Linked DNA regions of Xenopus tropicalis. The protein of the gene in region 1 binds, or shares a complex with, the protein of each later gene. Links are inferred from orthologs where the notes say so. Each region holds a gene or a part of one and is shown in the gene's direction. Other genes may lie near its edges.

What was found.
Region 2: taf7 (region 1) and taf12 share a complex: the UniProt entries of both Homo sapiens proteins name them as parts of the TFIID basal transcription factor complex. The link is inferred for Xenopus tropicalis from reciprocal best matches to the Homo sapiens genes TAF7 and TAF12.

The regions. Positions count from the first base shown.
Region 1 is NC_030684.2:37,687,115-37,700,580, forward strand, and holds the start of taf7 (transcription initiation factor TFIID subunit 7-like), read left to right. Parts: upstream 1-6,531; 5' UTR 6,532-6,566; intron 6,567-7,868; 5' UTR 7,869-7,911; coding exon 7,912-7,924; intron 7,925-9,219; coding exon 9,220-9,293; intron 9,294-9,746; coding exon 9,747-9,825; intron 9,826-11,108; coding exon 11,109-11,242; intron 11,243-11,501; coding exon 11,502-11,628; intron 11,629-11,729; coding exon 11,730-11,788; intron 11,789-11,953; coding exon 11,954-12,026; intron 12,027-12,164; coding exon 12,165-12,269; intron 12,270-13,053; coding exon 13,054-13,221; intron 13,222-13,354; coding exon 13,355-13,466. Other genes in the region: MGC108429 protein, read right to left, coding at 1,527-1,821, 2,078-2,342, 4,134-4,294, 4,590-4,680, 4,764-4,820, 5,029-5,167. UniProt on the Homo sapiens protein: The TFIID basal transcription factor complex plays a major role in the initiation of RNA polymerase II (Pol II)-dependent transcription.
Region 2 is NC_030678.2:78,441,170-78,453,999, reverse strand, and holds taf12 (transcription initiation factor TFIID subunit 12), read left to right. Parts: upstream 1-693; 5' UTR 694-716; intron 717-2,296; exon of another isoform or gene 2,297-2,306; coding exon of another isoform or gene 2,307-2,378; intron 2,379-5,850; coding exon of another isoform or gene 5,851-5,934; coding exon 5,935-6,117; intron 6,118-8,769; coding exon 8,770-8,847; intron 8,848-9,392; exon of another isoform or gene 9,393-10,071; coding exon 10,072-10,186; exon of another isoform or gene 10,187-11,045; coding exon 11,046-11,134; exon of another isoform or gene 11,135-12,481; coding exon 12,482-12,517; 3' UTR 12,518-12,743; downstream 12,744-12,830. UniProt on the Homo sapiens protein: The TFIID basal transcription factor complex plays a major role in the initiation of RNA polymerase II (Pol II)-dependent transcription.

The DNA.
Region 1 (13,466 bases):
ATTCACAAGTACTCTGGTGCAGGGTACAGAATGTGCACAGAGATTTTATTTTTCATGTAAATGATACAGTTAGTACAGAATAAATGAAGGAGTGCAGGTTTCATGGAACAAAAGCTGCCTTTCCTGGATGGTTGTATCTGTGTTGTTACTAGAAATGAGTAGCAGTATGTCTGTGTATATCGCCAAGCATGTATTTCCCTGTGAATATGGTTTTATGCACCAGGTCTTTCTGGAAAGAAAATGCAGTTTGGGAAAATATATATTAAAGAATTGTACAGTGTAAACAGAGATCTGCCCATATAACTGCTCCTTAAATATGATCCTAGAGATACGTTTTGTTTTTCAATTTATTCAGTAAATTTGGCATAAAAAATAGATCCCAGAATCCTCTTTTTATTACCCCAAATATAGATCTTACAACGTTAAAACCAATGGCACATAACTAGGCTAGAAAGCAAGTCCTGTTTTTGTACACACGTTTAGTGGATTGTTAACACAGGTAAAGCCAACTGCACCAGGTTTATCCATAGTTCAACTTAAATGAAATCTAAACCTCAAAATGAATGTAAAATTGCTCAGTGATCTTCTCAGCACTGATGTTGCTCTGCTCAGGAAAGTGATCAGAAACCAAAATGTCAATTCTGCCCAGAGCAACATCAAAACAGTTGTCTATTTTCCTCATTAACATGTTCTGCCTGACTGTGCAGTTGGAAAAGTGACAAGCTGGTGTCTGTATTGTTACAAAATTCATTATATTAGTTTCAGAACAGTTTAGTAGCTTTTAAATAAATAAATAAATAAATAAAAAAAAAAAAAAAATATATATATATATATATATTGCAAAAGTGCTTAAAAGAGTCTTCTAAACACTTTTACATTCCTTTTTTATTTACATTAACTTCATATTGTATGGTTGGTTCCATTCCTTTTCTAAAGGAAAATATCTTTTAGACTGCATGATAATTTAAGATAAAATCACTTGGGGTGTAGTCAGTAGTTAGGTACCCCCCAGGAACCAGCAGGACGTAGCCTGGGCCACTGCAGCTGTTGCTGAAAAGAAGTGCTGGCCAGTCACAGAATGTGAGACACTCGGCATCTACATTTCCACATTCTAATCAGTTTGAATCATATAACAATTTGATGTTCCAGGACGGACCACTGTTTAGAATTTTTTTGTATAAGGTATTTAAAGGCATGAACAACTACAGAAGAATATACCATTTTAATTGGCACTAACAATATAATTATAGCTTCAGAAAGGAGCCTAAAAAAGGAAACAAGAATTAGACATTTTAATAGAAATAAACCTTAAAAAAATATCTTTGAAAGTGCCATACAAGAACATGGAGGGAATTATATATCTGTCACAATTGTGGCAATGTAACAAAAACATTCCATAAAGGAACCAACAGCAAGGGTTTGTATTCCTTCCTCAGAAATGGCACTGAAGGTTACATCAGTCAAAGCAGGAAAACCACATAGCTTTAGTATTAGCTAGTAAAGATGGCTTGAATAGCTTTAGGGCTTTATTCACTCTCGTCACGGAGGGAGGAGACCTCCTGCCAATCCAATGTGCCTCTCCTCACCCCGTCTCTGAGGTAGAGAGGGAGCAGTGCGAGGGGCAGGGGTAGATCCCGGTAAGCATGGAGCAAGAATACACCCAATACAATGGTAACAAAGCCACTGACTGTCCCCACCACACTGCCAGCACTCAGGTGTTGCCACTCTTGGAACAGGATGGCAGAACAAGCAAGAACAGAGGATGTGAAGAGCACATAATAGATAGGTGTCACCAGAGAGGCTGTAAACACATCCAGGGCTCTGGAAGAAAGAGACACAATACAAATTACAAATGTACAATGCCAATACAAACGGCAACAACAAATACACACTTACTGTCCCTGGTGCTATGAAAGCAGAGTGAGAAAACTTGCAGGATGCCCCTTGGACTCTTGTTGCCCATGTTCTGTCACTCTGCTTGTCAGATAACTGAATACTGTGTAACGAAACATATGGCTGTATATACACAGAGAGGAGTGTGTGTGTGTGTAAGTTGAATGCCACAAGGATTGCTCACCTGTTGAGATAGTGGATTTGGACACTGATGCAGATGCACAGGCACAGCAGTAACACCCATCCAAGTGGATCCTTAAACACTGGCAGTCCAGAGAAGAGACCACGGATGGCTATACCTAGCCCCTTCACACATGCCACCGAAAGGGATCCCACAAGGGAACAGATAAGTACATACACTAGCACATAACTGTGACCCCAGCGGGGGGCAGCCAGCAGGGCAAGGAGGAATGAAAACAGGAGCACACAGGAAACAAAGGCCAGGAAACCTACAAAGAAATACAAAGAGGTGCAATGATACATAGTTATTGATGCCAGAGGCAAACTATAAAATTTTTCTGGGTTTTTTTTTTTTGCCTTTATCTGGATCCACTAAGAAACTGAACTGGTATGTACAGATGAGCAGAGTATTCTGGTACATTATAACTGTCTGTCACCATCTGCTAACTGAATGGGGGCTATACCCGCAATGGTGAATGATGTGCCACAGCATGGATGCAACCTGTCTGCCTCTATGCATCTTGCACTTTATTTGTATCAGGGACACAACCCCCCTTTTCATGCTAGGATTCTGCATTCCTCATTAGAGAGATATGTCACTTATTCTGCTGTTGATCACATGGGTTGTTCATCTTTAAGTTAACCTTTAGTATGTTATAGAATGTACTATTTTAAACAACTTTTTACTTGGTCTTCATTTTGTGTATATATCTGTATATTTATTATTTATTTACTTTTATCATTTATCATTTTATTCGAAGCCACTCCCTGGTTGGTAGTGTAATCGGACCCTAACAACCATATAGCAGATGAAATTCTAACCTGGGGAGCTGCAGAACAAAAATTGTGTCAATATCAAATTGGCTTAGTCAGGAGGGAATCTTTTTCCTTACTGCTATATTTCCCTACTGCCATTTCTGTGGTTTTTAAGCCAATCTGCAAATTCCAAACCTGACAACTAAAGAACAAAAAATGTATATCGTATATAAAAAAACCCAAAATGAATAGAATGTGAAAAAAAAGAAAAACAGTTAGTATATATACCTGTCCCACACAAAGTATGGAAATACATTTATAAGAAGCCTGTTATAAGCACATAGGGGATTCTCTAGGGTACAGGGAATAGAAAAAAAAGAATATACTGTCTGCAGATTGGCTGCCATGCAAGGACAGCTGCTTAATGGCAATTCCACATTAATAACTGCTGCATTATTCTCAATGAAAAAAAAGAAGCAGTTTAGCAGCAATTACATAGAAATATAGTCAGAGAAGCTAAAAATGAACACTCTATTAGGCTATTACGCTGTTAGGTCTAAATCATTCAAAATAAGTATAATCAAACCCCACATTTAAAGCCTATTTTTATTCTGTAACTTGTGTTTTTAAATTGTTGTAGAGTGCTGCAGAAATTGCTGGTGTGATATAAAAAATAATGGTAATGAAGGAGCAGTCTCTTTCTATCTCACAATCCAGCTCTTCCCAGTATTAAAGTACATATATTTTAAAACTGTTAATCATTAATTTTGCAATTTGCTAAAATGGCACTTGCTAAGCTGTTACTTGCAATTCTATCAAGGGTTCAGTATCTCCAGCAAGTACTTCCTACGGCTTCAGTGCTCTGATTATACTCTCTTACTGTTTCCTTGGCCTGGGATGTAACTCCTGTCACCCAAAAACCAAGGATGCCCTTGTGTTCTCAGGAGTGGGCTGTGTGATTCATCAGGGTAGCTCTAACAAAGAAGCCTCTATTATTAGGTGTATCTTTGACAAAGACATTTTCATGGACAAAAACTAGGTGTCTTTACTACTATAAAGAATTGGTACAAAATCACACACCCTCTCCCACAAGGTAGGCATATATAAAGAAAAAGTTTAATTTATTACAATAAACATAATGGTAGGGTAGTTTGTACCTAATGTTTTTTGTAATGCAGTAAAGGTTTCCTTTATATACGTCTGCCCATGGGATCTGCGAGTGCCTTGACATGATGATAAGCGTAGATTAATAAACAGCCTTATGGCATAGCAAGATACCTGTGCTACCAGCGTGATCCTCTTACCTGGCTGTTTCAGTTTTACTTCCATGTCACTCAGTGTTGATACCTCCTCTTCCTGAGGTGCATGGAGAACCATAATAGTGGAGCCCAAAATACTCAGAGCACACCCAGTCTTAGCAGGAGAGGTTAAATACTCATTAAGAAAATAAGAAGAAAGGACCGCGCTGTGGAGAAATATGGCAGATTCCTACTCATGTTTAATGCAAATACACATCAAAAAATATACACAGTCATAATTTACTGATTTTTAAGGAGGAAAATCTGTCTGTATTTTACAATAAATATTGTCGGTGGTATCTTATGCTTATGCGGTATGGATGAGAATAGAGGTGGGGGAGTATTAATAGTAGTATAAGCAAGTAAGAATTTCCAGATTGGGAGGTGGGAGAAAGAGGTAGAGGGGAATGGAAAAAAAGAGTTCCAGCACACAATAATCCAGTTGTCTCCCATTTCTCTCACCTCACCAACACGCTCAATCCTCCCAGGGGAGTCACCAGTGTGGCAGGAGCAAATATATATGCAGCAAAGTTAGCAGCTTCACCCAGTCCCACTACAAAACAACAGATAATAAAGGATAGGTCAGGTGAGTGCAATATCAGAGGTGTGCTAAATGAATTCTGAAAATATACTCACTTGACAAGAGACCAGCCCACCACAGCCACTCCTTGAGGTAAGCATGCCCTCCATGTCCTGCCAGGCAGAGACAGAATTATTTACTTAGAGTATCCTGATATAAAAGGTTATATCGCCATCACTTTTCAGTTTCCTACAAAACTGTTAGCAAAGGAAAGCTTCTGGTTATGTACTAAAAAACACTGCAGGCTGAACTTGTAGGCAGGGGGAAATAAGATATAAAATCAGTGATAAAGGCAATGGTGGAGTACCTGGCAATTCTCACCTGCCCTGAGTTGTCCTCGACTGCAGAGTTTGAGGAGACCCTTCTTTTTCAGAATAAAGCTGCTCCCAATGAAAATGCTGGAGGAAAGAGCTAGAGCCAGTCCAATGTAGAAGTCATAGCGGTTTCCAGTAGTCTCCATATGAACCTGTCAAACATAAATCGTTACTTTTTCCTAGCGAGTACCACTGGGTTTCCAGCAGCAAATTCTCCTTCCAATTATGGGCACTGCCCAAATAAATCAAGTATAATGTTTCGATCAAGCTTCAGCAAGTCAGTGTGAATACACACTATTGTCAATGTGTCTACCCTGCATTGGAAAAGAATTTTATAGCACGGCTTATTTTAGATTTTAGGTAAATATGAATATCTGCTTTTATTTTATCCCAAGAGCTGACATTCATGTATGCCTGTAAGTATATCCATACAGTGCCACAAATAAGTAAAGCATTTTGCAGAAGGAACAGTTCCATTTTATATATAACATTTAAATTCAAACTTTATATATAAATACAGTAAGTTTCTGTAAGTCCCCTCTGGAGAAGCTTACGGTGCCACCCTTCCTACCATGACAGCATGCCATTGTAACTTTAATAAGTAAGGAGACGTATCACTTCCTGGTATAAATGAGCGATAACTGACTAGTGTACTTGCTCTCACTCCCAATAGTTAGTATTTCTAACACTACAGGATTCTAATGCTCCTGCCCATAAGACTTACAGTGCTGATGAACCATAATAAAGCAGAAGCTACCAATGGCAATTTTATTAATACTCAGATTGTAAGCTCTATGGGGCAGGGACCTCCTTCCTACTGTGTCTCATACCACATGGCACTTATAATAAATAAATACATATATGTATATATATATATATATATATATCACTCGTCCTCCCTGTGTGTAATTTTGTATTCTGTAAGACTGTACAGCGCTGAGTACCCTTGTGGCGCTTTATAAATATAGTTGTACATACATACATTAACACGTATGAGACCCTAATGTCTGCCACTTAGCTCCCAGCATGCACAGCGGCACTTACTCCTCTCACTTACAGGGTGCAGGGAGAAACCCACCGCTTAGCAGAGCCGCCCGTTCCACAGTACACACTCTCCGGGGACTGACCCTACCACCCCTATCGGTAACACATACATAGCATCACTTGCTACTCTCATTTCTATTTCGAGCTTCCGTATTCTCTGCAATCATTTGTGAGAGACTTTGGCTGGGTACCCAATTGGTTAGCGAACTCCAAGTACGGTGTCCATTTCAGGACATACATTGTCCAAATTCAAGTGCAAAATTAATACTAGAAGGGGGAGGCGCAATTCAGAGATTTTGGAGGTGGGAGAAAGCAGGACGCACTTGGATTTTTAGATAATTGACCTATAATGGACACCGTAGTCCTGGGCAGTGTGAACCAATCAGAAGGCAAAGGAGTCCGGCTCTATTCCACATACTTCCGGTATCTGGTGCTCTGTGGGCTAGGAATTTCCCATAGGTGTAACTTCACAATGAATTAGAGAGCAGCGGGTCTCCTCCGGTAAGTAGAATACCTGTAGTTCGTCGAGGTGATGGGCCGAGTCTTCGCCGGGGGTTACTGGGAGTTGTTCTTAACCCACAGATGGGAATTCGAAGAACAAATTAGTTTATTATACTCAGTGCCGGTGTGGGCTATAGAGACTGTAGTGCTCCTTATAACGCTGCATAGCTACAAGAAGCAAGCTTTAGCTTTATAGGTGGCAGTCATTTCCAGGGACTGCAACACTAGTCCCCACCGCACTCAGACTGTAAGCTCTGCAGGGCAGAGACCGCCTTCCTTCTGTCTCTCTTACCAGTGACACAGTTATGTATTTTTATACTTATTTATTGCAGTGTTTGTTCTCCCTGTTTACACTTTTCTGTATTGTATAATTGTGCAGCTCTGCATATTCTAGTATGTATGTATGTATATCTTTATTTATAAAGCGCTACTTATGTACGCAGCGCTGTACAGGAGAATACATTAATACAAACGGGCTTATTAAGATAAATACAAAGTCTAACAATAAATATAAATTAATACAAGATACAGTTGCAATAAATTAAAGGAGAAGGAAAGGCTAAGTCACTTGGGGGTGCCAAAATGTTAGGCACCCCCAAGTGACTTAAATAGCTTACCTTGTGCCCCTGTTAGGAGAACACTGCACCAGCCCGGGGTACCTGTAGCGAGCGCTTCCTTCTTCCGTGTTTTTTCTGCGGTGAAATCCCTTGGCCGGCGCATGCGCATTAGAGTGAAAAGCCAACTTTGTTGTTACAGTTCAGCTTTTCACTCTACTGCGCATGCGCAAGCGCGCCAACGCGGGAGAAGGATGCACTCGCTGCTACCCCGTGCTGGTGCTGTTCTCCCTAACGGGCACCAGCCTGGGGTACAAGGTAAGCGATTTAAGTCACTTGGGGGTGCCTAACATTTTGGCACCCCAAGTGACTTAGGATTTCCTTCTCCTTTAAGAGTCAAAGACACAAGAGGATGGAGGTCCCTGCCCCGTAGAGCTTACAGTCGTACAGTAGTAGTACTTTAAAGCTGGTCTGTATGCCACTCCTTTAATGGCTTTGGTTGTAATAGAGAAATTGCGTGTAAGAATTCCTCTTTTAACAACTAAAATTTGTGGAGCAGATTGTCAAAACTGATTCCCACTCACAAGCTCACTAAAATATCTGTGTGCAGCCAGTCTTTTAAAAAGAAAAAAAAAAGGCTTAAACGTTCTGGGGACCTACTGTAGTCATAACAATGGTCTGTCGTTAGAATTTATGGACGATTGGCCAAGTGCAAGATTTAATCTCATGGTTTTTTTTCCACCCACAGATTTCTTTGCCCCCTACTACTGACTTCTCCTGACAGATTGGCCATGACTTCCACAAGTAATATAAATGTTGTTTAAGCGACTGCTAACTTTTTTCTTTACACTATAGTAAAAATACAAATGAATACCTTCTGTATACATTAAATCCTGTATTATATTAAACAACCTTGAAGTGCTTAAAGGGCACCTATTGCAAAAATTACATTTTAATACAGGCTGCATCATATTGAAATAAGAAGATCTCTAGATGTAATCAATTAAAAACTTCTGTACTGTGTCTGAAATAATCAATTTACTCTCCCAGCATCTGTCTCTCTTCATTCTCTCTTTATTCTCTCTCTCTTTATTCTCTCTCTTTATACACTTATTAGGATTCTGATTTTGATTGACAGTTAAGTCTTGTACAGCATTTGGGGGGGGGGGGGGGGGGTAGGTGATCCTTTTGCCTAAAATATGTATTAGAGCTCACTCAAAAATCCTGCCTCTCTACGTCCAGAGAATAAAGACAGGTAGATGCTGAGTGGGAGACAATGAAGAGTAACTTAGTTATTTCAAAAATGGTACAGAATTTTTATTATATTTAGAAAGTTTCTTCCCCATTGTAGGAGAACAACAGATTCTTGTATCTCCAGAAAAGGAAGAAATTTTGGATACACACGTTACAGACTCTTCACTCTAGGGGATTAAAATAAGAGTATAATCTATATGCATTTATTTAATAATATGTGAAAGTAGACTACACTACTGATTTTTGGCTGATTTTTGTATTACACTAGGAATACCAATGATTCTTATTTAATGTATACCTACTGTATGGGATTGCAGCACATTGCATAACATGTACCTTTAAGAGGGGAGCTTTAGGTAGACACTAACAAATGTGTTGTCATTTACTTTTTTGTTTGATAAAGGGGCAGGTTCCATGAAACTTTATTTTTTTTTATTTTTACAATAAAAGCTTTGATTTTCACCAATATTTAGACTTTTTTGTTTATTATAACTTAAGTCTGGTGATTGGCACATTTCTACACTCGGGTTAAGCTAATGTATTCACTGGGGTTGCCTAACACACCATCTCTTAAAAATTTCTATTTCTTAGTCTTTTAATTTATTACTAGTAATATATCCTTTAACATATAGAGACAATGTAATGTGCAGAAATACATGCACTTGTATACTTTCATACCATATTAACAGGAAAATAAACATAATTTTCTTGTATATATGTGCGCTATCTAGAAAAGTGAAAGAGCTGGTAAATATTAATTTCTTTACTTTTCAACACTTCCTCTATATGAGTCCTACTGCCTACAAGGCCAACTGACTTCTGAGTTTTACATATTCCTTCCATAGAACAAAAGACATCAAGGAGCAAAGATGATGCCCCACACGAACTAGAGAGCCAGTTTATCCTGCGACTCCCACAGGTGAGTATGACACCTATCCGAGCAAGGAATCCTATGTAGAGCTGCTTCCATTGCTCCTCCTAAATGATTGCATGGTACTTTTAATGATGATTGTGATTAAAATTACTTTTCTTAAACTCTTAATTTGACAATAGGCTTCATTAGTGCCACATTAAATGCATTGGAAAGTTTAGGGATGGCACACAGTAAATCTGTGCTCTCTTGAGTGGTGTATGTGTGCACTTGACAAAGGTCTGTAGGATGAAAAAATCTCTCGTGTTGAGTCAGCAATAAACCTGGGAACCCCCTTATCAGAAGCCACCAAGTCATCAGACAGACTGTCGCCACTTTCCCAAGTGGTGGAACACAAAAAGAATTAGGGGAATTTTTAAATACTAACTAACAGCTGTCACTGGATCAGGTTCTTTCCTCATCTTCTATTTTTTTTTTTTTTTTTTTTTTTTATTCATTTAGGAATATGCCTCAACAGTTAGGAGGATGGTCCAGTCTGGGAGTGTAAATACAAAAGACAGACTTTCTGTTGAGTTGCATCGTAAGTATTTTAGCAGCCTAGTTTCTGAGGCTGTGAAAGATTCAAGATTTTTCCCATATAAATTGAGGGTGGGGGGGGATTGTTTTAACTAAATAGGGCAAAATTTAAAAATGAACGTAACGTCTCATTCTAATTCCTGTCCCTAAAAGCAAGTTGAAAAGCAAATCAGCAGTCCGCTGAGTAGCTGCTTCTTTTCTCACAGCCTAACAGGCTGCAGCTGGTGCAAGGGGGAGGTTCTCAGTGGACTGCTGATTTGTTTTTACCTTGATTTTTTAATCCAAATGTCACACAACTCTGTCTCTAAGCTGTGTACTGTAGCTGCAAGAGAAAAGCAAGTAACTTGCTTATCACTAGCCAATAAAAGAGGCAAGCACAACCCCTATTGCACAAGCATTTAACTTATGGAGGACATTCTCTATTGCTTTAGTTATCTTTTGAGCTCTAGCCAGTCTAGAGAAAATAAAAAAAACATATATCCTGTCTAACTATAATCAGTCCAATTACTGGATTACAACATACCTATGTATATTATAGAAAATAATTAAAATAAAGAAGAAATACAGATTGTTAGTATCGGTCTGGAATGGAATCCCTGCAGCATATTTGCACTTGATAATTACAAATGTAAAGAGTGGCTCAGGAGGAGCCTTTACCCTGTTGCATGTTTTTAAACTTTGAAGTGATTGCTAATTTATGATGGTTTACTAAGACTGTAGATTGCAATCAATTAGCAATTCGATTTAAACACTTGCCTACAAGTTAGAAATCAGAAGCAAAGATCTGATTGGTTGCTACAGTCCTGGTAAACATGCCCCTTAAAGGAGAAGGAAAGGCAAAGTCACTTGGGGGTGCCAAAATGTTAGGCACCCCCAAGTGACTTTAACCGCTTACCTTGTACCCCGGGCTGGTGCCCCTGTTCGGAGAAAATAGCACCAGCCCGGGGTACCTGGAGCGCAGCACTTCCTCCTTCCGCCTTCAGCTTCCTAAACTGCCGGTGGCCGGGCATGCACAGTAGAGCGAAAAAGCCGACTTAAATGTTTAAGTTCGGCTTTTCACTCTACTGCGCATGCGCGCGCAGCGAAGCCGGAAGGAGGAAGTGCCGACAGCTACCCCGGACTGGTGCTGTTTTCTCCTGACAGCGGCACCAGCCTGGGGTAAAAGGTAGGCGGTTAAAGTCACTTGGGGGTGCCTAACATTTTGGCACCCCCAAGTGACTTTACCTTTCTTTTTCCTTTAATCCTCTATTTATCTTAACTTACTATGTAGTTATGATCTGTTCCCAGCTGATGGACGTCATGGAATTGTACGTGTTGACCGTGTACCACTGGCTGCAAAACTCGTTGATATTCCCTGTGTAGTGGAGTGTTTAAAAACTATTGACAAAAAGACTTGCTACAAGACTGCCGACATCTGTCAGGTATTTGCTGCTTTGTTTTGCCTTTACCTTAAAGTGCCTAGTAAGTACCCTTTCTCCAGATGAGTAATGAAAACAGGTCACATGCTCATTACTGCATTTAGAATAGGGTAACTGCAGAGAAACAAAAAGAGGCAACATGTGTAGTCTTTGTGTAGCTCCAAGTAAGTAACCCTCCGTATTAATACATTCTGTGAATCAGGCCATTTCTTTTATTACTCCAGTAGTTGCATGAATGTCTGCTTTTTTTTTTTTCTCCTAGATGTTGGTATGTACCCTTGATGGAGACCTCTATCCACCTCTTGAAGAGCCAACTGGGACTAGTGACCCAAAAGCCAGCAAGAAGAAGGACAGGGACAGAGAAAAGAAATTTATTTGGAACCATGGAAGTGAGTCTGTTTGTCTTTCATAGTTTGGGGGAAATTGTTCCTACCACTCTTCCTCTGCACACAAGACACACACAATTTTTTCCCCCCTTATGTTATTTCAGTTACACCACCTCTAAAGAATGTGCGAAAGAGACGGTTCAGGAAAACTGCAAAGAAGAAGGTAATTCTGTAGTTATATCATGGTGCATTGAGGGAACCACTTTCTCTTTGGGTTGCATATCGTAATGTGTGATGTGCTGTTTCTTCTTCCTTCCCTACATATTCATCATCTTCCATTTTTCTTGATACTTCTTGATAACCCCTAAGCTTTGTTTTTTCTTTTTAGTATATTGAGTCCCCAGATGTGGAGAAGGAGGTGAAACGGCTTCTGAGCACAGATGCTGAGGCAGTTAGTGTGCGTATCCTTTTATAAACAGCTACCCAGGAGAAAACATATGGTGATCGCTTTGTGATGAGAGAAACATTTTTTGTTCTGGATTTAAACTTATATCTTTATATTTGAGAATCTTATCCTTTCCTTGACTTGCCACCATTAGGATGGGAAGTGATAGCTGAGGATGAATCAAAAGAAGCTGAGAATCTGACTGGGTTGGATGTTTCCCCAGGGATGTCTGGGATCAAACAGGGTCGTGGTTCTTCAGGTAGTTTGTCCTTACCAAAAATAACATTTTTTTTCAGCTTATAAATGTAAATCTCTTTTAGGTCTTGTGCAAACCAATGTACCCTATCATGGGAAGCTGAGGATACTTTGATTCTTAATATATGTGGTATCATGCTGCCCTTGCTATGATACATAGGCAGCTGACTGCCTATGGAAGTGAACATTTCATCGGAAAGGATATTCCAAGCTTCTTTAGTGTTTGCAGAGTTTTTTATCTTGTGTCTTTTCTTCATGCATCCATCTCCCCCCAAAGATCTCTGATTCCAAGAAAGGATTCACAGGGAATTGATCATGTTCTGTCATGAAACTATTACAAACGCCAGTATTGATTTTTTTCTAATAATAATTCAGTAAAGAGAAATGACAGAAATCACTTCTTCCTCCCCTCTTACCTTTAAATCCGTTTTCCTCCATTAATGCTTTGTTTCACTTATTCCATCTTCCTTGTCTCCTTGTAATAACTCCAATGCTCTTTACTTTTTGCAGTGTCTCACAGCCCTTCTGCCTTACTCCATCTTTAATTCACACTGATATTCAGTGCTGGAACAATCTGACCTGCTGCCTGCTGCTAGATTTTCTTCTAACTAAACCCAGCCCTTTTATGGTCCTCTTCACACTTTTTTATTTTGCTCCACATTCCTCTGCAAACATCCATTAAATATGAGCTTATATTCTTATGTTCTTAATTAGCTTTTTTAAATTATTCTTATTCCCTCCATCTTAAGCTCTAACTTGTCTTTCCCAACATGTCTCTCTCTTTCCAGCAGTGGAGAGGGAAGAATTGCGTCAGATCTTTAATGACATCAGTAGTAGCAGTGATGGAGAAGAAGAGGAGGGAGAACGCCAGGAAGAAGAAGATCTTAATATCATGGAGACTGAGGAGGAGCAGAGGGCAGGACAGGATGGTCAAAAGGGAGGCACTAACCAGATTGGTGAGAGTATAGCGGAGCACAAGTTTTTTTTTTTTTTGTTTTTTTTATAGTGAAAGTAATATTTTAGCCAGAGAAGAATGCAGAACTTATGGGGAAGTTGATCTTAATGATATCCCATTTCCCTATGTATCAGTTCTGGAGATGCAGAAACAGCTGGAAAATTTACAAAAGAAACTGCGAGAGACACAGGAAAGAAGAAAAAGACAAGAAGAGCTTATAATGAAGGTTGAAAATGTAGCACTGAA
Region 2 (12,830 bases), on another chromosome or scaffold:
ACTAGGCGTTGCCGGGAAAATAACCCTGCGGAACACAGTGTATTAATTAATACGCTTCAATATGCTTATTCCTGCTGATACATCCTCATTTTCTCTGTTTTTGAACTTAATTATTGGGCGCCCAGACCATCGATCTCTAGCAGCCCAGTTTACAAAAATTATGCTTTCGAAATCTCTTGATATCGATTCCGCACTGCAGTCCTCCACAAGGGAGACCCGCAATGTGCCATACACGGCACAAGCCCTTTTTAACTATCATCTGGTTTCTGCAACCTCCAGGGGCAGCATAACCCTTACACAACATATGGCGACAAAGTTTCGGTTAGGGAAATATCTATAATTGTATATGAGTGCTAGATCGGGATACACTAAATATAAGATAATTCACTTTCATAAATACAACAAACAGTATTTTACATTTTAATTTTATTGCCAAGCGAGGGCCATATGCAAATTATGCTAAATAGAAGGGATGATGGGACTGCCAATTCCCGTCCACAGCTACATTTAAAATCGCGAGAAAAGGTGCAATTTTTGTTTAGGTCGGCGTATTGGGAGCCATGTTTTTCGGTTTTCTGCGCATATTCTGAGTTTTGGATTGTTCCCGTTAAATAAAGTGTGGGGGGGAAGAAGAATTTGCGCATGAGCGGAAAGAATGTGTGATGTAACGTCCGCCAACAGGGAGAGAGACAGCAGAACTTAAAGCGCAGAGATTGGTATGTGGACTCCGTGATTATATTGTCGCTTTATCAGGTTTTCCTTGCGAGAATCGGGACGTATGGGATTCCCGGGTATCTCACTTTGGTGTCCCTACTCTCCCGGCAAAGCAGTGCAGCAAGTGCTAGTGCGCAGCAGGTTGTACGTAACGTACCGTGCCAATCATCTCACTCATGTGTGAGACTCACACACGGTATTATGTATTTAGGTATATTGGAACATATATACATACACACAGGAGGGTTACAATTTCAACTTGTTAGAATCCAGTTCGTTGCAACTTTCAGATATACGTTAAACAATTTCAGTGGTGTATAAATCGCTTTCAGACTGGCTCGCTGGTTATATGTATGTATGTATGTATAACTTTATTTATTAAGCGCCACAAGGGTATGCAGCGCTGTACAGTCTTACAGAATACACAATTACACACAGGGAGGACAAGTGATATAATAAATAAATACAATAAATACATATATGTATATATATATATATAAGTGCCATGTGGTATGAGACACAGTAGGAAGGAGATCCCTACCCCATAGAGCTTACAATCTAAGTGGTTGGGTAACATACAGGCACAAACTGGAAGGTAAGAGTGCACCAGGTATGGGCATCTTCTGTTCACTGGTGCGGAATCCTGAAACAATGTATTAGAAGTTAGTTGAACTGAAATGGGACTTGCTGGCTACATTGTTTCAGGAGTCTCTTCTGTTCTGAATATTTTTTTTCCTGCATTGCTTTAATGTGTAATGGGGATAGGTTACACTACATATAGCAAAAGGCAGAAATCGGTAACAAAAACAATATGCCAGTTGTTTGGTTTTTCCTTAAAGGAGACATATCCTATAAAAATGATGAATGTTCCAGTGAATTATACTCCTCTAGATATAGAAGGATTGTGCTTAAAAATGTTGTGTTTCAGACTGATTTATTGAGAAATTCCACCAAAACCCCACTAGTCCCGCCCATCTGTTCCACTTCCTGCTGGCTGAATTCTCTGGATGAGCTGGGGAGCCGCCCTCAGTACCCTGCACTGTAGGACAGGAACCAATCAGCAGCTAGGCTGACCTGATAGGGAACTGAAGCCTGTCTGTGCTTGTGTGAGGGCAGGGCTGTGATTGGCTCTCCCCCTCCTACTGTGCTTCTGGCAGGGACTGTTAGGACACGCCCACTCTCCATTTCACACTGGACAGAGAAGTGATAGGATCTATAGGGAGCTCCAATAAAGGGGCCATTGTTACAGATAGGGTTAATGTTTAGCCCAAAGGGAAACCAGCACCGTATATTATTCATAATTGCCTACAAAATAAGTGTTTTTCCCCATTTATCCAATATGTCTCCTTTAAAATTTTTGTATAATAACATACCGGTTAGGAGCATTGTCTTGCCTATAAAATTACATCAATATTACACTCTCTAAATAGATGAGAAGAAAGTAAGCTTACCTTGGATCATTTTTGAGTTATAGCTAGTAACTTGGTGAAATGTCATCGTTACTAACCCAGTCCACCTCAGTCTGTGATATATACTAATAACCTTATACAATGTGCCCAACTGATGCTGTTATTGTCTGCAGAAGGCCGGTGATGATGACGTGTGTGCTCAGCGGTTCCACCGCCGTGTGCGATGTCATTACAGAGCTAGATACTCAACTGGCTGTAAGTAAATAGTGTGTTAGCATGAGCCACTGTATAGTGATACAAAGTATCTCTGTACCATACAGCCTTATTAACCAACTTCTGCGCCGTTCATTAATGTGTGTGTGTGTACAGTACTGTATGTGCTGGTATTTAATGTATTCCCAATGAAAATCTATTCACTGGGACTCAATTAACACTGTAAATATTGAAGCTAACAGCTAAAAAATTGCTATGAGCTATTGTATTGAGGCAAATTTACAAAGTGTTGGTAAATATGCCCCTATGCCCTTTATGGTGTTTCTTCCTGACTATACTTTGCATTGGATAGTCAGGCAGAGTAGGTAAATAATAGGACTAGGTTACAGGGTCAGACTGGCTCACCATGCTACTGGAAAAAAAAAACAGTGGGCCCCCCAACCCTGTTGGGCCCTGCCACCTGAACGCCATCTTTTATTTTTTCACAGCAAGTAAGCAGCAGAGTGGGCCACTGCTTACTTGCTGTGAAAAAATAAACTTGGCGGTGTGCGTTCTAAAGTTGAGCCTATAACAGTAAGTAAGTAAAGCAGGAGTAGCTGTGGGCGAAGCAGCTGTGGGCTCCTGAGTTGGTTACCCAGTGGGCCCAGGGTTACCCAATCCAACACAGGTGTGCTTTATAGGTAGCAAAAGAGCAACAAGCTACCTAATAATTGCTTTCTACACTGGATATGACAGGTTTTTGCTTAGGGTTGTCAGTATGTTTTTATTTAGCAGACCGATTACTTTATTTGCAATAGCGGAAAAGTGAAAATAAAGCCCACATTCTTAAAGGAATAATGTCATGGGAAAACATGTTTTTTTAAAAAGCATCAGTTAATAGAGCTTCTTGAAAAGAATCCTGTATTGAAATCTGTTTTTCAGAAACCCAAACACATTTTTGTTTATATTTACATTTGAAATTTCACATGGGGCTAGCCATATTCTTCATTTCCCAGGGTGCCACAGCCATGTGACCAGTGCTCTGATAAACCTCAGTCACACTTTACTGCTGCTCTGCAAGTTGGAGTGATATCACCCCCCTCCCACCAGCAGCTGATCAGAAGAACAATGGGAAGGTAGCAAGATATCAGCTCCCAATAGATATCAGGATAGCGCTGGCTTGGGACTCCTACAGTTACATGGGAGTAGGAGAAACAATAGGTTACCTGAAAGCAGTTCTAATGTGTAGCGCTGGCTCCTTCTGAAAGCTCAGACTCGGGCACAATACACAGAGATGGCACCTACACACCAATATTAGAATTTAAAAAAATACATTTGTTGGTTCAAGAATAAAATGTTAATGGTAGAGTCAATTATTATATGTAAACAGTGTACTTTAGAAATAAAAATGAAACCATAAAAATCATGACAGAATCCCTTTAAGGTGGCAGATATGTCCAATTAATGCAATGGTAAATGCTCCACAAAGACTGATATAATTGGTTATTGGAACATTAGACTATAGTGCACCATAAAGTAAAAGCTTGGTCACATTAGGTATATTGGTTTGAGTTCAATCAGATACATGTGCTCAGATTGGTTCACCTCTCTATTTAGGGCAGGGGTAAACAGGGAGATTAGTCGCGCATCGAGTTGTTGTCGCGGCCTTATCTCCTCACAATGCCCGAAGTTACCTCAGAAGACCACTTTGGGCAACTGTAGGACATCGCAATGACGTGTATGCTATCCCACCGGCTATTTACATTCTAGCTGGTGGGGTGGCATTGCAGGGAGATTAGTCGCCTGCGACAACGGAGATTTGTCGTGGCACGACTTATCTCCCAGTGTACCCCTGCCCTTACACTCACCTTTTGCAGTTCTCCAGAGCCATCAACCTACTTTTGCTTCAGTTAGGAAAAGTTATGTATAAAAAGAATCCTGCTGTCCTGTCTGATTCTTGCAAGTTTTTAATGTGCTAACCTCCTTTCATGAGGTTACAATGCAAACTACCCCTTCCCTCCTGCATAATCACAGTGTGTTTTATCATAATCCAATTAGTAAATGATGATTACCATGCTAGGATGGACGGAGGGCAAATTATGCAGTGAATCCAAAAAAAAAAAAGGTATGATTGTGGTGCAATGGGAGATCCAGAGGTTCAATAAATTTGTAATTCCAGCCCCTGCATTGACAGGGATTTTATCGGCTAGTCGGGCATCCCTAAAAACCATGTTTTGTTCAAAGATGTAGAGCCAACAATTTGTATCTATGTGCTTTCATTAAACTGAGACTATACCTAAATATAACTGGTGGAAACAGGATCAGGAGTGATGTAGAATTACATTTATTTATTAAGTACTTCCACTATATATTTTGTAGCGATGCACCAAAGCCACTATTTTAGGATCCGCCTGAACCCCCCCAGGATTAGGAAGGGTTAAAGAGAACCGCACTCTTTTATGTTTATGTGACAAATTCAGCCGAATCCCAAACAGAGTTCTAGAGTTCGGTGCATTCCTAATATTTTGAGAATAGCTGTACTGTAAAACGTGATCATACTAACTTCCTGACACCAAACATATAAATGAATTGTTTAGCCTTTCTTTTTACTGTTCTAAGGATGTGCAGATCCCAGTATTGCAGGTAGCAGGGCTTGCTTAGGATATTGTCAGGCAGTTAATAGGCACTGTTGTTGTGAACTTTAAAGGTGACCATACACTGCAGATGTGTTCATTTAGTGAGGTGGCCAAGCAAGAAAATTTGGGCCTCATTTGGCCACCCACATGCTGGTACAAATAAGATATCTTCAGGAATTATCCCACATCACCCCTAAGTTAGTGCAGTTTCTCCTTGATAGAATATTTGGTTTAGTTTAAGCCCTGTATTACAATAGTCCACTTTTCATTCAAAAGAGTTCCTTTTTAAACCAAGTGTTCTTTTCGCAATTGATACCTTTTTAGCGCCTCTATTACTTTTTTTCTGTTATGTTAGCAAATAAACTTACCATGTCCTTTACTTCTAACATTCTCACCTGCCTGCTTGTTTCTTTGTATCTGCTGTCAACTGTGTATTGTATTTGTGTCAGCAACACCACTGCTAGGCTGGATTTTAGATAGGTCATTTAAAATGGAAAATAAACATTTTAATACTACACTGATATTGTTGCTTTGAGTTGGCCATACATGTAAAAATGTAACTGTTTGCCATGATGGACAACTGTAGGAATAAACATTTAGTTGGCAGGCATGATAACATCAACATAAAGAACAAAATTAAGCATATGTGATGGTTCTGTTGTTGTTGTTAGATTCAGAATACTTTTAACATTATAATGCTCCCCTAAGCCAACCTGACAAATTTTTGAAGCAGACAAACTGATGATATCCATGGTACAAATAGCCTCTAAATATAATTAACTTCTAAATACATATAATCAGGTATTCAAGTTATAGCCTTTTATAAGTTTTTTTTTTTTTGTTTTTTTTTTTTTTGCACTTGACACCTACAGTTTTCTGTTTTATATCCGATTCCACAGCTTCTAGGCCCTGGGCCCCATACCCCAAAACAGCGTGCTGACGTATCCCGACTGGGTGAATTGCGAGCAAAAGCGCTCCAGATTATGAACCAGTTTGGAGCATCCGCATTGATCAACCTGTCAAGTTTCTCCTCCTCTACAACCACCACCACCACTCCTACCTCAGTCGCGGTCAAACAGGAGCCAGTCATGGCAAACAGTACTCCAGTTGGTAAAGTTCCAGTGCCAACTGCTGGAGGAGGGCGTGCAAGTCCAGATGCAAATCAGGTGAGTATATTTTAACTAAGGTTGGTTAATAACTCTGGAAGGTATTTGCAGCACCTGTAAAATCAGGCTTCATTGTTACAATATTAGTTTTAAAAGTGCAAGATGTTTTAAGCCCAATAGCAATGGGCAGGTAAGTGAAAATAATTTATAATATGAAGCCTTATTTTTTATAGCAATAGTTGAAACCCAAGCCATGGTTTACAGCAGGCATCCTCAAACTATGCCCCCCCCCCCCAAGGTAATTTACCTGGCCCCACTATGATCTGACGCAAGGATGCAGGTTGGAGCCGGAGGATGCAGTAGAGAGCAGGGGGAAGCAGCAGGGAGTGGGCCATAGTATGAGGACACGGGGGGAGGACTTTAGTCCGGCCCCCCAACAGTCTGTGGGAACATGAACTGGCCCCCCTGCTTTAAAAGTTTGAGGACCGCTGGTTTACAGGCTTTATTGCACAGTTGGACAACTAACTAATGCAGCAGGTTTTGCCAGACTGTATAAGGCTAATTTAGAATATGTTAAACTGTTTAGTGTAAAAATAAAACTGGGCAAAAAGGCTGTGCAAAATGAAAATTGTATTCAATATAATAAACAGAGGTTTAATGTAATAGCCAGAACATAACCTCCTCCTTTGTATCTCTTTAACCTGTTAATCAGCAACTAAAAGGGGGGGGCTACGACAATCTGGACACATAGCTCACCCCCTTACAGTAATTTTGACTGACCCGACAGAACTAAACACAGCCACCTACACTGTGACAATTACAATGCCTAGCAATAGTACCCTTGTCTGTATTGGCCTAAACCTGACTCGACACCATTCCAATGTCAATATATTAAACACTGTTTTGTATTTTTGTTTTGTGATGTTGTAAAACCAATAAAAATGTACCTTTAAAAAAAAAGGGGGGGGGGCTACATAACATGACTGTTCATACTCAGGATCTAGCTTAACTGTTATTTTCCATGTTGCCCCCTTCAAGTTGCTGACTGATAGGTTAGAGCGATGCAAAGGAGGAAGTTGTGTTCTTGCTATTACATTAGACATCCTTTTACTCCTCCTTTACAGATTATATTTTTGGCTAACTACATTGAATTTTGTTTTTATATTGCACAGCCTATTTACCCAGTTTTATTTTTAAACTGAAATGTTCCTTTAAAGGTTAACTAAAACCTTTTGCCAACCTTCCACCATTTAAATGCCACCAGAACACTGAAAACAGTAAATACTGTCAGTTTTCTAGCTGTATTTGATGTTACCACCATAAGCACTTAGCCCATCCATCCCATGCCTTCAGCATGTTTAACAGGCACAGCAGAAGTCTATGTCCATGTGCGCACCATTATGCCTTGTGAATAATTTCTCATTTAAATTCCTACATATAAATGGGTTCTGATGTTGCTGCTAATTTTGATTATCATGCTTAGTTTAAGCCTACGTTTAACAATGTGGCAGCTCCCATTCAAATACAGATATAAAGAAAAAGAATGTTCCATACATGCAATAAGCTGTGCTGTCATACTGTAGGAAGATAAGTGAAAGTTAAGTAGAAATAGGATAGGTTATTCCTGTATATTGAAAGTACACATTTTTAACTGATACTGTCAATAAGATTGCTGCAAGCAAAGCAGTCAAGTTCCAGAATGGCCCATCAGCTTGATCACTACTTGGGGAACATCAATCAATTTGGTTTAGCGATGAGCTTCAAGGTTTGATGTGGGCAGTAGTTCCACACATCACCCAATCATCTGCTAGGTTGATGTAGCAAGGTTAGAGTAGTTTATAGATTTATTTCTCTGAAAACTTGGGTTAGTGCTTGAAGGCAGTTCATGGGGGTACCAAATAATAGCCATGATTGGTTATTTGGTAGCCCCTATATGGACTGACAGCCTACAGAAGGTTCTGTTTGGCATTACACTGGGTTTTTATGCAACTAAAACTTGTGAATTCGAAACCAGGAATTCAAAAATAAACACCTGCTTTGAGGCAAAATCCTAGAGGTTGATGAGTAATGTTGCTCCTGTGCCACTGGTTGGGGATCACTGGTTTATAAAATTTGCAGCTAACTTAAATTGTTTCACTTATAATTAAATCGAGATGCTCAACCCAAACAAAAATATTAATTATAACTCATAACTCATTTATTTTGTTTCTATAAGGTGCAGATACAGTGGTTCCCTGTGAGTGTAGAATTCAACAAATACTAAATATGGAGGTATTATTGACGGTCAAAAAGTCAATAATTATTATGAAAAGTTTGTTACCTAGCTAATATGACAAGAAGGTACCTTTATTGCTTAGGTACTGTTAAGGAGATTTGAGTCATAATATGGAATATAAACACAAATGTAGGATTCCCAAATCTATGTCAAAATGCACTCTGCCTGCCAAATGGTAAATATTAATATGATAGCACTGTTTAATTTAATGGTGGATCTAAAATCATGCCAGACAACACCATAGATATAATAATTGAGTGCACTAAACGCTTAAAGAAATTTCTTAGCTGCTATATCAGATGCTTATAATGTAGACAGTTGATAACACATAAAATACCCTGTATCTTGCACTAGGCTGCGGTCACAACTCTCCAGTATTAATCTGCCTTGGAAATATTACACTATGAATTGAACACACTCATCAATGTATCCATTAGGTTCTTACTAAGAAGAAACTGCATGATTTGGTTAGAGAAGTTGATCCCAATGAACAGCTGGATGAAGATGTGGAGGAGGTAAGATTTCCAAAGCTGTATGAAAGAAACTAGCTTCTTCCTAGAATTCTCTTCTGAATATCGCTGACCTGCCTCTGTCCAAAATTTGGAAGATGGCAGGCACTCCAGGACTTGAGAAAGTATCAAGCAGTATCTCAAAAAATGCAGTAAAATGAAAAAAATGTATTTATATTAACACATAATGCTGCATAGCCTTACGCATTTCGTACCATCATGGTACTTAATCATAGGCTAAATAAAAAGACACAAATGACAAGTATCTATCTATGCTACTGACACATCAGTAGCTGGACATTTTCATGAATGTTCAAATAGATCATTATCCCATCTTTCTGTTGTAGGCATAGATAGAGCCTTTCCTTGTCCTAGAGGAGGTAATATTGTTAATGCTCTTATTAAAAAAGAAACCAAATGGATCTTTTACCTTTATACACGACAACCAAATGGTCTAAATTATGACTACGATGTATCTTGTTATGTGTAATTAATCCATTTATTATCCTTTTATGAAGTAAGCTCTTCATTAACAGACAATGAGAAATTAGTAATAGAAAGGTTAAACTTTTATTGCATCTACATTATAAGGTGACATGATGTTAAAAATGTGACAATAAGAAGGCTCAAACCAATGTAAAAAACTGCAAATGTATGATGTGAAGCTATATCTTTATTCTGAAAATAAAAGAGTTAAATACAAAAAAAAAAAAAGAAAGGTTAAACTTTATTTTACAATATACATATTTACATTTTGTAAAGATAATACAATTTATGATATCCTTGGCAGATCTGTATACTATATTGCCTAACACTAATGTTTTTGTTCTAATATCTAAGCTTAGACTGCATAATGGTCTTCCAATTAACCTCAACATACTATGATTGGTTGATCTTTTCTGTACAGCTATTGGCTAATTTGTGTCTTTTTATTTAGCCTATGATTAAGTACCATGATGGTACGAAACGTGTAAGGCTATGCAGCATTATGTGTTAATATAAATAAACATTTTTGATTTTACTGCAATTTTTGAGCTACTGCTTGATACATTTTCTCAAGTCCTGGAGTGCCTGCCATCTTCTAAATTTTGGATTTCCTTATGGCCCCCTCAAGCTGAAGGTCTGGGGCGTGAGCACCCAGGCCCATCTATACCATCGGTGAGCATTCAACCAATATTTGACTTTAAGAGCATAGTTTCCATTTGTGTTTATCTTGCTCTGTCCACATAGATGCTTCTACAGATCGCAGATGATTTCATTGAGAGTGTGGTATCTGCAGCCTGCCAGCTTGCCCGACACCGCAAATCCAACACTTTAGAAGTTAAGGATGTACAGCTTCATCTTGGTATGTTAACCATAACCATATGATGCCAACTTTGTATTTTGTTTAATTCTGCTGTCCCACTTGGATAAGATACACATGAGCAGCTTTTTCTCAATATGTATAAAAACCCTGTCATGAGCTAAGATGAATCTGTGCAAAAGTGGGATTAAATCAATATAAAAGTCAGCAAAAACACATCACACATCACACTTTCCTAAATAAATATTAGTGAAGATTTTCTGTGTATTAGTGTGCATGCACTGGCACAAGGGATCCTTGGGAAAAGCAGTCAAGATTTTTATTGTCTATAATTTTCATGAATAAATATATGTGGGGGGGGGGGGTTGTCACTTCAAAATCTGAACCCACTGCCTTTACCCTTTATTTTTTCTAGCAGGAGTCCATTATTCAGAGGGGTTGTATGTGTACTAGTAATTCAATTATCTACCTCAAAAGACTAAACATGGAGTAGTTTAAATTTCCCTGTTTGCCCTGTTTAACAAAAAACATTGATCTTTCATGATTAAAACATTAGGCGAAAAGTATGTTCATTGCAAGCTCTATTTATTATGCTCTTGTTGAATGGGAGTATACTGGCCCTTTAATAATAACATTAATAATGTTTTTATCTAAATTACAATGTCACCTGCTGGTGCAGCTTAAGAATTACACCACTTATAAATCAGATTCAGAGTACAAAAAAAAGTACAGTGTTATGATTGTTTTTTCTTTCCTTATTTTTTTCTCCCTCCTCCCTTATTATGATAATGTTAAATAGAGAGAGCCTTCCTTCTTGATTATTAAGTATATGACACGGGCATCAGATGTAAAACCAAGCATACAAGTCTGAGATGTTGAATTTCTGCTCCTATTTACACAGAGAGACAGTGGAACATGTGGATTCCAGGCTTTGGTTCAGAAGAAATTCGGCCCTATAAAAAGGCTTGTACTACTGAAGCACATAAACAGGTAATGTGGCTGTCCATTTTCAAATAGTGTGCTTTTTTCATTTGATCCTTTTGTGACTTTTATCCAGTCCAAAGTATAAACCTATAATTTGGCATAAGATGTATGGCCCTTCAGAGGACATATGGTTAGTGCTTGGATCCATGCCTTTGAGGGTGCTATCAATTCCAGTGGCAGCGTAAGCATGTGTGTCTGGAGCTTCAGTTGGAGTAGCATATGAGAACTGAATGTATAGTTAAACACTTGCAGTATAGTTTTAGGGTTATCAAGATCTAAATTAAATCGCCAGTAGACGTATTGGATTTGAGCGCCTAGGAAATAAAATATACATTTGGTAGGCCAAATCCTCTCACATTAGTTGAAAAGGTTGGTAAATACAGTGCCATACTCTGTGCCTTATTTCTCCAAATAAATTATAACTTATTTGTTTAATCATCTTACACCCCAAACATTAGATCCAATACACCCAAACAATTTGTTGGGGTGTATTCGATCTGAGATACCTTACACTGAAGGGTTGGCTAGAACTTTGGCTTGGATGTTTGCATTAAGAGTAAGAAATATGAATCCATATTACTTTTTGCCAGGTTTAAGGATAATGGTGGTCATGGCTTTAGAACATGAAGGGTGGCTAGAATCTTGGATACATTTTAAGTGAGTTAGAGAGAAACATGCTCTGATAGGGAACAAGTAAGAAAATCATATCCATCCATTATGGTAGAAGGTCAGTGTTGGCTTTGACTGGCAGTCTTGTTTAAGAATTGATGTGGAGAAATGACATGTAAAGGCTTATGTAACAGAAAATGGTGTACCCAAGGGTTATAATGGTGTACCCAAGCCTTTGTGGGGGTTTTTTAATTTATTTATTTATTAATTTTTTGTTGCTACCTTTGTTTTAATTTGCACAATGTTGCATTTTTACTTGCAAAGAACAAAAAAAGGCCAATCTGGGGGATGCAAAATTTTAAGTTGACTTCCCGATGACCACAGCCTGCTTACCTTGAATTCCAGGACAGTGTCCCTCTTCCTTTAAAAACATGGTGTTATGGTGCTGATATTTTTTAGAGGTGCAGTGGCTTCATCTCAGCTGCTCTTTCACGTGTTCAGCATTTGCCTGCCGTTGCCCAGGTTCGGCACATACACATTGCAACTAGCCATTGGTGCCATATTGAACACCTGGGAGAGCAGGCAAGGTGGGGCTGGCATACCTCTAAAGAACAATATCAGTGTCAGCATTTTCATTTTAATTTAACTTTAATTAAACTAGTTTTTTTTTTTTTTTTCAAATCAAATTGTTTTGTCTGTTTATGTTTACCTGCCTACTTACCATCCCCTCTGTTTTTCTAACAGAGAATGGCTTTAATTAAGAAAACACAAAAGAAATAAAATCCATTTGTGACTTTGGACTTCTGCAATCCCTTGCCATTCTGATCTTGACACCTTCAAACTGCCACAGATGACAGATGAGCGTGAAGGCAACCTCTTCAGAGAAGAGTCTAACTTTGGGGACAGAAAGTTTACAACCCTCTTGCTGGGAAAGGGTTAATTGGTCCCCTGACTACCTTTTGTATATACATAGGATTGTTTGTTTAATTAAACATGGCTGATGTAATTACTATTTCTACTGATTCTGTTTGTCCATTCATGGAAACAGTCCAGGTAAAAGTGAAGAGTGTTAAAGTGCTGATGGCATCAGTTC